Caenorhabditis elegans: one gene and its partner. The protein of the gene in region 1 purifies or fractionates together with the protein of each later gene. This does not show direct contact. Each region holds a gene or a part of one and is shown on either strand. Other genes may lie near its edges.

What was found.
Region 2: the proteins of vps-45 (region 1) and syx-7 purify together in Caenorhabditis elegans (affinity purification with western blotting, with the first as the bait; one study listed by BioGRID). This does not show direct contact.

What each region holds. Positions count from the first base shown.
Region 1 is NC_003284.9:969,978-977,020, reverse strand, and holds vps-45 (Vacuolar protein sorting-associated protein 45), read left to right. Parts: upstream 1-2,172; 5' UTR 2,173-2,268; coding exon 2,269-2,361; intron 2,362-2,752; coding exon 2,753-2,951; intron 2,952-2,998; coding exon 2,999-3,063; intron 3,064-3,237; coding exon 3,238-3,413; intron 3,414-3,983; coding exon 3,984-4,479; intron 4,480-4,526; coding exon 4,527-4,616; intron 4,617-5,137; coding exon 5,138-5,230; intron 5,231-5,279; coding exon 5,280-5,386; intron 5,387-5,737; coding exon 5,738-5,860; intron 5,861-5,906; coding exon 5,907-6,056; intron 6,057-6,245; coding exon 6,246-6,297; 3' UTR 6,298-6,438; downstream 6,439-7,043. Other genes in the region: Protein abhd-3.2, read left to right, coding at 1-79, 130-303, 592-739, 788-854, 1,118-1,281; C44C1.6 (Neuropeptide-Like Protein), read left to right, coding at 6,880-6,982.
Region 2 is NC_003279.8:9,001,277-9,006,011, reverse strand, and holds syx-7 (t-SNARE coiled-coil homology domain-containing protein), read left to right. Parts: upstream 1-2,048; 5' UTR 2,049-2,072; coding exon 2,073-2,148; intron 2,149-2,204; coding exon 2,205-2,284; intron 2,285-2,331; coding exon 2,332-2,409; intron 2,410-3,091; coding exon 3,092-3,382; intron 3,383-3,525; coding exon 3,526-3,621; intron 3,622-3,776; coding exon 3,777-3,902; 3' UTR 3,903-4,101; downstream 4,102-4,735. Other genes in the region: fcp-1 (RNA polymerase II subunit A C-terminal domain phosphatase), read left to right, coding at 1-413, 458-586, 855-1,010; F36F2.7 (uncharacterized protein), read left to right, coding at 4,432-4,515.

The DNA of each region.
Region 1 (7,043 bases):
ATTTTGCGTTCATTGCTAAGATGATTAATGAAAGATATCCGGATGCAAAGAAGCTGGGATGCGGGTTTTCCATGGGAGGGTGAGTGTAGTTTAGGAGCTAAAAAGATTCAGCAACACGCTTATTTTCAGAATGATTCTCTGGAACTATCTAGCGATGACTGGAGAAAATGCAGATCTGGACGGAGGCATGATTGTTTCTTCTCCGTGGGATCCCCTTGTTGCTTCTGATTCTATTGAATGCTTTATTCCACAACTTATTTTCAACAGCTTTATTGCAAAGAACTTGGTAGATATGGTGAGACCGTAAGTTTTGATGTTTTTTCGTTTATATTAGTAAGGTGTTTATTTTTAATATTTTAAATCTGATGACTTTTAAACAACAAACGTAGTTGGTATAAAAAATTGGCATTGAGAAAATTTGAGGAGACATGAGCAGGCCCTGTGCTCAAAGAGCTGGCAAGCTTCTCATTAAGTGATTGGTTTTTGCGCGTTAATTTGAAGCAATTCCTTTACGCCCAAATTTTTAGTATTTCCTGCTAAGCTATTAATGAACCAAACCCCTGAGTTCATAAGTAGCTCCCACAATTCCAGGTACCGCGAGCTATTCAAAGATATGGTGGATTTTGACGAAGTGTGCAGATGCAATACGGTTAGAGGGTTTGATCGATCTTTTGTGATTCCCATGTATGGGTTCAAGAGTTGCGATGACTATTACAGACAGGCTACTTTGGCGACAAAGGTAACATTTGAAACTTGGTTTGTAAAAATTTGAAAAATCAATTTCCAGGTAGACAAAATCAAGATTCCATGTGTAACACTGAATTCTGTTGATGATTATTTCAGCCCGGTGGAATGTAAGTTTTGGTTTGAACAGCTTTGAAAACTAATGTTCATATACAAACATGAGTGCTTGCTACGTTTCTCTAGTTCATAATTAGACGTGTTTGCTCTACGGTAATAACAGCAACCGACACATTGCGGGTTGCAAAAAATTATAAAACGTGTGGAATTTTTATGAAATATATATTAAATATGTAATTGAAAAGCTAGTTTTCTAATTACATTTTTTAAACAAAATACCAAATTTAATAATTATTCATACATTTCCCCTATTTAGGCATCCCTACATTAGATATAATGGAGAGCGACTACGTTTGCGGTATTATCACCAATCACGGAGGACATACTGCTTTCATGGAGTCTGCTGATCCAAATGCGCGCGGAATGGTGGAAAAGTTGCTCTCGCAATGGGGAAATATGATCTTCCATGATTATTCATGAGCTTTGATGGATTGTGCAATGTTTTCAAATTATACGTATTATTTTTGTATTATTAGGACTATTACACTTTTTGAACAATATCAGGTTTTTCAGTACATCCCGGTTTTTTATTATTATTGTGATTTTAATTTAATTTTTTAAATGTGCAAAGAGTTAATGGTTGCAGATATGACTAGATGAAACTCTTTTTTTGTCAAATAAAAACTTCAAACACGAATTGAAAATAGTGTAAAATTAATATTTGGCTGCAGTTTCATGTGAACGAAAAATTGTGTTATGTCCTTCAAATTAGAACCAGCCACCTTGCATTGAATAGTCATAAATCTGTGAAGTTTGCGTTAAGCTGGAGCTTTGGTAAAACCCTACCATAAGTACAGGGAACAATTTTGAAAAGCTCTGATACGAGTTAATTATTTTAGTACCAGCCGTGGACCGCACCTACGGCGCGGCCCCCGACTTTTTTGAGAAAACACATTAGATATACGGTGTCTATCGCGGACCTCGATCGATGTCTGCTGCGCATTTAGCATAAGGTTTCCCAAAATTTCGTTGCTCTGATCGGAGATCAAACTACATAGGGACAGAAGGACACGCGCTTTATATATAGTAAATGATAATTGTTGTCCTAGTACATCACGCATACGGATAATAATTCTTATACATATTTCATAGACTTTTGTTCAGGACCAAGTTAGTATAATGAAAAATTGGAGAAGATTCAGTTTTCTTCAGATTTTCTCCGACAGAATGCAAATTCTCCTGCTCTACTTCTGCTCCACTTTTCCACTTTTTCCATCTTTCCTCACTCTCCACAGCCTTCCTCCGTCTACGTCTCCACTAGCCTAGCCATCTCTCAAAATCGATGCTGGCACTGGACACTCACCCGACGCGGTGACAGAGACGGCCGCGGCCTAGAGTTCTCCATTTCTTTTCTTTTACCATATGTTTTTATACACGTTGGCCACTAGCTCTTTCTACTAATCAACCATGGATCTCGTGCAGTCAAGCCGAAAATTGATACAGGACATGATCCAACTTGCCGGCTCGCAGATGAAATTACTACTTATGGATGGGGAAACAGTGAGTTGATTTGAAAGTGTAAAAATGTAATTATTCGGTTAGGAAAAATAATTAAAACTTGTGTCAAAAAGTTATACTAAAACGTAAATTAACAACACGTTTTGCAAATTTTTCAGTAACATTTATGTCTATTTTTGAATTACTTAATCTAACAAAATAATAAATAATAAATATAATAAACACTTAAAATATAGAGGAAATCCAAAAATGAGCAAAACGTATTGTATATTCACAATAGCCTAAATGTTTATTATGAATTTATATCAGCTATAGATTTTTAATAAAGTTAATGCTTAGATTAGTATGAAAAATCATATAAACATACAATTTTAAATGATGAGTAGTTTTTTCACACGTTTTCAAATAAAATCAACGCTAAATTTTTTTCCAGACTCCAACAGTGTCATGCGCATTTGCGCAGTCGGAGGTGATGCAAAAAGAAGTTTATATATTCGATAGAATTGAGAACAAGACCTCATCTGAAAACATCAAAAACTTGAAATGCGTGGTATTCGTCCGGCCGACACCCAAAAATATTGAGCGACTGGTGAAAGAGCTCCAGGAGCCAAGATTCAGCCAGTACTATCTTTGTGAGTTTACAGAAAAAATACTAGTTTTCAATGAATATGCTTTTCAGATTTTACAAACACAATCAACAAATATGATGTGAAGCGGCTGGCTGAAGCAGACAAAAATGAGACTGTAAGTAGTACTTTTTATTATGGACAGAACTAATTTTCAAGCTGCGTGATTAAATTATGAGAATCAGAAAAAGATTTATTGCTTTCCGACAATAACTTAACGATGCAAAAAACTTTTAAGCAATACTAATACGCTATAGGATATGTCAATAGTGTATTTTTCAACAAATTCCAGGTGCGTGAGGTTCAAGAAGTGTTTCTAGATGGAGTTCCTATTCGTAAAGACTTGTTCACTCTCAACTTGACACACATCTTCGACTCATCATTCACGTTGAAAGAAGAAGCCGCTGAAAGGATCAAGTGCGGAATTATTGCGCTATTGTTGCAGTTGAAAAAGGCTCCAGCTGTTCGGTGAGAGTTTTGAAATTTCTAATTTGAAAATTGGTAAAGGATTGCGGACATTGACCTTTTTTTTGAAATTTTGGTTATTTATTAGTCATGTTCATGCTTTTTTATAAAGGTATCTCAATTTAGAGAGTGTTCGCAGCTTTTAATTCTAAAGATTGATTCAATTTCTCTAAAACTGATCCCTAAAATATACGATTGAGAAAAAAAATTCATTCGTTTGTTTTTGTCTTTGGTCTACAAGTAGTATCCAATTGCGTGACTGCTTTTGTTTTTCGTCTTGTACCCAATTTCCTTGTTCTAAACAAAAAGAAGTCTTTACCCCAACAATACGATTGTATGATAAATTAATTTGCACATATACATACATATCATAACTATCGCGCAGCTGAAAATTGGCACTACATCGCTTGAGCAGAAGTGTGCTGCAATCAGAAATTTTTGGCAATGCTTGTAATTGTTAGACATAACACGCTGTAGTTTTGTTTTTATTGTAATCTGGGAGCTGCTACATGCGAAAAACTGTATGCAATTGTCACTACTTTGTTGCATACTTTTACAATGTTTTTTTTTCAGATACCAAAAGTCTTCACCGAGTTGCAAAAAAGTGGCCGATGATGTAGCACAATTCATTCGCCGGGAAAACGGGCTTTTCGAAAACTCTAGAGCTGACACCACTCTTCTGATTATTGAAAGATCCCAGGACGCGGTGACTCCTCTGCTCAACCAATGGACGTATGAAGCGATGATCCATGAAATGCTCACATTGACAAATAACAGATGCACATGTACTGATCAGAACATTGTGCTCAGCGAGCTTCACGATGAATTTTTTGCGAGAAATATTACTGCCAACTTTGGAGAAATCGGGCAAAATATCAAGACGTTGATCAGCGAGTTTCAGGAGAAAAAGCATATTAACAAGAATTTGGAGTCGATTCAGGATATGAAAAAGTTTGTGGAAGACTATCCACAGTTTAAGAAGATCAGTGGAACAGTGTCGAAACACGTCAGCCTTGTAGGCGAACTTAGTAATCTTGTTCAGAAGCATAATTTATTAGGAGTCTCAGAGGTAATACAGTTTAAAAAAACGTGTCAAAACGTAGAAAGTGGTTTCAGGTAGAGCAGGCAATTGTGTCAGATGGGGATCATGGCAAATGTATCAATCTTGTTCGAGGACTGCTGAAAAATACGAAAACCAGAGAAGTGGTGAGTAACAGTAACATACACCGCAAAAAAATCCGGAATGAACATTTTTAGATTCTGAATGCCAAAACAAACACGAGAAAATACTGAGATTTGTTATCGCAAATGACCAATTACCGTATTTCCTTTATTAGTCTTGCATGCAAAACTAATTTTCAATTGGTCCGTAGGGGTGCAAGACTAATAGAGGCTGCAAGACTAATAGATGAAATACGGTATATATTTTCGCCAACGTGGTGCTCAGGAAAGGATTTTGTTTCCTGTATCCTATAATTTTAAGTAAATTCATTAGCTACTTTAAAATTAGATACTACAGCTTCAACAAACTAGGAAAAATAGCTGGTCATTTAGTCAGTGCAAACATAAGTTTGGTCAGTGCATACGCAAATTTTTTTTTTCAAGGCACACAACACTGAAGTGTGTGCTATATTTTTAAAAAATTTATTTTGTTAAATGATACATAGAAGTATATAATTATATTTTTAATTGAATTTAGTTATCACGATCAGTACACCCATTTTCAGGACATCATCCGTCTTGTGCTTCTCTACGCTCTTCGTTTCGAAAACGCACCCGGCAACGAATTAAACTCATTGATCAGTCAACTCAGACCACAGGTAGGCAACTGGTGTATTCTGGGTTTAAAAAAATTTCATGCTTTTTCAGCATCCAAAAATCCATCAAACGGTGTCGACGCTGCTCAAATATGGTGGACTTTCAAGGAGACCTGCCGATTTGTTTGGTGGTGAATCGACTATTGACATTACGAAGAGGTGAGCAACAGTGAATCAGCGTAATCAAATATTTGGGCTGAAATCTGGGCTTAGTTTCGGTTGATTTGGCGGCTTCAGCAATTTCTGATTTGGTTCAATTTTATCCGTTACTAGTTGTCTAAATCAGAATTTCGAATTAATTTTTGTCTACAGTAAGCAAATTTAGCGATTAAAAACTGCTTTATTTATAAAAGAATTACAAATGAGTTTTGCAACAAAAAATATTAATTCATTTGACCAGAAATTTATTGACACCTCTAATAATTTGACAAAACTGACTGAACATTAGTAGCACTAAAGAAAGACTCAAGATTTACAAAAGGTACATGGTATTCTACCTATAATTTTCAGGTTCATCAAAGGACTCAAAGGAGTTGAGAACATTTACACCCAGCATTCGCCGTATCTCAAGAACATGATCGAGTCTTGCCAGCGTGGGAGGCTTGACAACTACCCGCTTCTTAGCAATGAATGGTAAGTTCTAGATCTACTATAATGCTTCAAGCTACTCAATTTTCAGCGACCGAATGGATAATATTATTGTGTTTATTGTGGGTGGAGCCACATATGAGGAGGCGGCTTATGTGAGAAGCTTGAATGAAAAGCGGATGCAAGGATACGGAGGGCCTGCTGTTGTTCTAGCTGGGAGTAGCATGCTAAATACAAAATCGTGAGTATACAGGCTTTAAAATGAAACCACGTCCCCGGTAAAAAATGTTTTGGCTAAGCGGGCAGACATTAAGCAGTAATTCTGTCGTTTTTCGATTAATGGGTATACTTAATGCTATAATACTAATTTCAATTGGCTATTGCATTTGTTATGGTTCTGTAGTGAATGGAAAATAAGTTAAATTTACAGATTCCTCGAAGAGTTTGCCAACGTCGACAAAAATACGGGAGCTGTTCACTGAATATCTCAAAAGTTTCAAAACTTCTCGCAGAGTCTATTTATTGATTTAATTGAATTGTCATCTTTTCTTGTGATATATTGAGCTTCTTTATGAAATTGCTTTTTTTAAAATGAATATGTACTGTGTACAGTGCCACCACTAACGGTCTCCCTATTGGCTCAGCCGCTGTTAAGCCGTGGAGAGGCCTACCGCTTGGCTTTTGAGTAAGTTGAAGCATGTTTGGAAGCTTTTTGATCAACCGAATTTACCAGAGGCATTTACAAAGAAACACTTTTTCAAAAATATTTCCTATACGTGAATTTATCATTTCAAAACCGTGTCGTTTTGAAAACCCAAACACACCCAAAAATAGTGTGTGTCCTTTGCCAATAGTGAATAACAGATATATGCGCTAATTTGCTAACCAAACTGGCGCCGTTTCGTTTATACTGTCAGTGAATTGTAGTGTTAGGTGGTGCGTGACTGGCTGACCAAGACAACAAAAATTCTTGATATCATTCGTCAAGAGAAACAAAACCTTAAAGCGAAACACCTTCGAAAAACCTTTTTAGTGTGATTTATCACTTGACTTCAACTTGAACAATGGACTACTACTTCAAACTTATCTCTGTAGTTTTTATCGTAATTTTGGCTATCCAATCGCAGGCTTTTCCCATTGAAGAGACTTCGCTAGGAAGTATTAATGGTACGTTTAATGCACTGCTACAGTTTTTGAAACCAACTTTGAGCATTGATCAAATTGCAAG
Region 2 (4,735 bases), on another chromosome or scaffold:
CTTGTGTCGAAAAGTGGCTTAAAGCAGATGAAAATCTGTTTCAACTAACAAAAGAAAGTACTCCTCCAGTTGGACGTCCACTTGGATCAAAGTATGTCAATGATTTGGCAAATATGGACACAATTGGGAAAGCCGCGTTAGCTGATATGAATAATGAAGTAGATGAAGCTCTATCGGATGATGAAGACGATGGAGACAATGAGGATGAGGATGATGATGGGAATGATGTTGGAGAAGATAAGGGAGATGAAAATTTAGAAGAGAAACAAGAGAAAAATGAAGAAGAAATGGATGATGTTGAGCAGAATGGATCTGTTGAGAATCAATCAGGAGATGCTTTGGAAAACGAGACAGATTCTACATCAAGGGGACAGAAAAGAAAGCATTGTCCTGAAATGGAGGACGAGGAAGAGGTAAGAAACTTGAAAATAATTTATTCCAATAATATTTATTTCAGGAATCAGATTCTGATAATGAGGATGACGATACCCCTATGTCGTACAAAGCACTTTTGTCAGATTCACGCAAAAAAGGTCGAATTGTTCCAGAAAACGAGGATGATGCAGTATTTGATGTTGATGATGAGGTAAAAAGGGCGGCAAGTATAAAAAATTGAAAATAAAACGGAAAGTTTTGAATTTATAGTGGCTAAAATTAATAGTAGTGAATTTTTTGAAAAAAGTTAAATTTTGGCTTCTTGAGCTTAAAAATATCAATCCAAATCGTTCCAGTGTCTAGAATTTATCGAAAAATACGACATTTTATCGATATTAAACAAAAATTCAAAGAAACACGTGAATCATTATTCCTGCTTGGGAGATCAAAAGTGTTTTGAAAAAAAAAGACTTTTACAGAAAGGCCACGCACCAGCTAATATAGATGAAGAAGAAGATGACGAAGACAATGAAGATGAGGAAGTACCGGAATCTGATGATGACGATGAGTTCGAGGATATGGCTGCATTGATCGAACGTCAGATTAGCGATGCAGTAGATGAAAAAGATCAATGAGTTTTCTGTGAAATCATCATGTGCTATTATTGTTTTCATTTCCTATTATTCTTTCAGTTGTTTCCCATCTTTTACATCTCATAATTATCACCCCCGTTCCCCATTTGATTCGATACTCAATGTTTTCTGTACTATTTACCTCCATTTAAATGGGAATAATCTGACAATTAATGTCGGCTGCTTGATCAGAGTGATTTTCATCAAATCAATCAAAACTTCACTAGAAGCCTGCATTTTTGTCATATATAAACGTTCACGGTTTGGAATATAGATTGCTTTTTATTCACTTATCTTTTGCCTTTTGATTGTAAATTCAAGAAAAGTCTGTCACTATGGAGTTATTCATCTTTCGATTGCTTACTTAAATACCTCTATTTTCATTTTATCGAATTAATTTTTTTTTCTAAATCGCGTCATTGTCTCATTTCTTCTCTCGTTTCACGTTGATCGTTATTATTTTTTTCTGAAAATGAATGAGATTCATTTCTATTTTTCTTGCTGACGCTTTCGCAATGCCGTTTGATTCGGAAGTATGATTTATTTTTTTCGAATTATAGGATTAATGTATAGTATTTGTTACGCGAGACCAAAAAAAGTTTCATGTAACAAATGTAGTACAATGTTTACATTTCCACAAAAATCAATAATTTACAATTTGTATACAATTCAATGTGGTCTTATATTACACAATCAATCGTTTCAACAACACGTTTTGCCGAACTGGATTTTTATCGATCTTTTACTATTTCCTTATTATTAAAAGTTATTAAAAGCTATATATTCGCAAAAAGTTTTGAAAAAAATTGGTAGAGTGATTAGCTATTGAAAAAACTTATTTCATTTCCTTTTAGTGACTAGTTTATTTACCATTGCAGTGAAAGTTTATGAAAAAAGTATTTACTTTTCTCTTTTGAAAAGAAATATTTTCTCGCATTTTTTGTCTATAGAGCATTTTTGCACACACGCGCACTAAGCGCCTTTTTTGTATGTATTTTCAGCGGTTTTTATCGATTTACTCATTGTCAAGAATCTTTTCAGTTTGAAGCCTATCTCAAAGCCAGAATGGATTTCAATCGAGATGCCGGCAATGAGACAGCCAGTCAGCTTCAACTCAATATTCAGAATTTAAATCAACAAGGTTTGCACGAAATTTTTTATTAAAAAAAACACGTTGTACACTAAATTTCGTTTCAGTTATTCAATTGGAATCCTTTATCACAAATCTATCAGATAGCAGTGAATCAGGACAAAGAGAACGGGAGCTTTTCAATCGCGTTAGTTATTACTCTCTATTAATTAATATTACATTAAAATATTTCAGAAAGCTCATAATGCTCAGGAACTCTCGAAGGAAACCAATGCCCTGCTGAAAAGATTAGTTGTGATGAGCAACTCTGATGTGAGTTTCAGTATAAATTTTTATATTAAACTTTGGTGAAGGCAAAATTTTTCAATGAATTTATATTTTAAAAAAATTATCCTAAGGTTTTAAAATTTTATAACATTCAAAAATAAATCATAAAATCACACGATTTTTGTTAAATAAAAAAAACTTAAAAAAATAATTTGAAATAATCTTATTATCAAAATATATAAACTGGCATGTGTAAAGTGGCTTATTTTTTATTTTGTTTTTTATTCAAGCTCCTCCCATTCCTGACCTTTCGTTAAAGTTTGTATTTATTAGTTCATTTTAAAAAAATGGGAGGAGCTTAAATAAAAAACAAAATAAAAAATAAGCCACGTTTCACATGACAGTTTATATATTTTGATAATAAGTGGCCTATTCAAGTAGTATCGGAAAATTAAAAAGTGTAGAAAATGACGTCACAACTATATTAAAATACATGTTTTTGTATGTATTTGATTACAGTTGTGGCGCCATTTGTCTACAATTTTCCGACTCTACTTGAATAACCTCATAAATCAATTTTTAAATCCGAAATTTAAATTTTCTGAAAATTGATTTCAAACTCATTTTGTATTGATATTCATATGAAAATAGGAAATACACGTTTGGGAGAGATGTCTTTGAAGGAATATTTTATTATAGTATTATCAACAACATTAAAATATTTCAGAAGAACTTACGAGGAGTCCGAGAGCGTCTTCAAAATGAGTATATCGGAGTGCTCAACCGCCTTCAAGCATCTCAACGAAAAGCTGCACAAACTGAAAAAGCTGGAATGGTTGCAGCAGAAATGGATGCTCAAGCGGCACGTGATGCTGCCGAATACGATATGTACGGAAATAATGGACGAAGTGGTGGACAGATGCAGATGACGGCACAGCAACAAGGAAATTTGCAAGATATGAAAGAACGACAAAATGCATTACAACAATTGGAACGAGATATTGGAGATGTTAATGCGGTAGGCTTTATTCAATTGAAGTTATAATGACCAATTTAAAAATTATTATTTTTTAATTTCTATTAATTTCATTAAAAGCGGTTAGAGGATGTGCCATACGAAAAATAACTCTTCAAGATTAAGTAACATTAATTAATTTTCAGATTTTCGCCGAACTCGCGAATATCGTACACGAACAAGGAGATATGGTGGATTCGATTGAGGCAAATGTGGAGCATGCACAGATTTACGTTGAACAGGTAAAAATTCGGAGAATCACAGAATTGTTCGAGAATGAAGCGATGAAAACGAAAATCTGCAAAAAAAACTTTAATTTATCTAAAAATATACACGTTTAGGTACTTTCAAAGTTGAAAAATAGTGGGTATTCCATTTTAATAAAAAATAAATTAAGGGTGCTCAAAATGTGCAACAAGCCGTCTACTACAATCAGAAAGCCCGTCAAAAGAAGCTTCTCCTTCTCTGTTTCTTTGTTATTCTTATCTTTATCATTGGATTAACCCTCTACCTGGCTAAGTAATAGGAGTGTCTCTGTTCTGTGAATATGCTTCCTGTCCTATATTTATTTGAAAAACATACTGAGAATCGAGCTTTTATTATAAGTCATGTGTTTGTATACAGTCTAACCTAAGTCTAAAATATGTTCAACTCCTCAATTGTACTAACTTCCCTCTCGTTGCTTTTTTTCGAATTTTTCTCAATAAAATGTATTGATTGAATATGACGTACTGCTTTGACGTTCTTTTCAGAGAAGAAGAATGATCGGGATCATTTGACCGATGAAATGATGATCGACCGGGAAAAAATGAAATAAAAAACTTATGCAAATCCGATCAGTGTGGCAAACACGGGTTCGGCTCTAAACACGTTTTTTCTCCTTTTCGGAAAAAACAGTGATTTCATTTTTTCAGCCAAACCTAACGGCCGATTGACGCACTTGTGAAATTCTGAATTCGCACTACCGCCGCTGCTGTATAAAACGAAAAGTTTTACGCAAATCTTCTCTTTTCTTTTACTCTCCAACTTACTGCAGAACATAGACCTTTAAAATGGCTGAAAGTATTATTGATTTTGTGCTCGTTGCTATTATTTTAGCCGCCTTAGCGGTAGCTACACTTATTTTATTGTTTATGGTGAGTTTTATGATATAATAAGTATAAAAAGCCAAGATTAATAAATACTTCGTTTTCTGAAAGTTGAATGCTAAAAAAGGCCGGGAAAGGGCTATTTGAAAACAGTGAAGCAGTGAGATGTGAGAGCTACAGTACTCCTTAAAGGCGCACATTCCTTTTCGAAGCTTTCATTTAAACATTTTCAATCGTGTCACCACAACCAGGTACAACCAGGTAACCA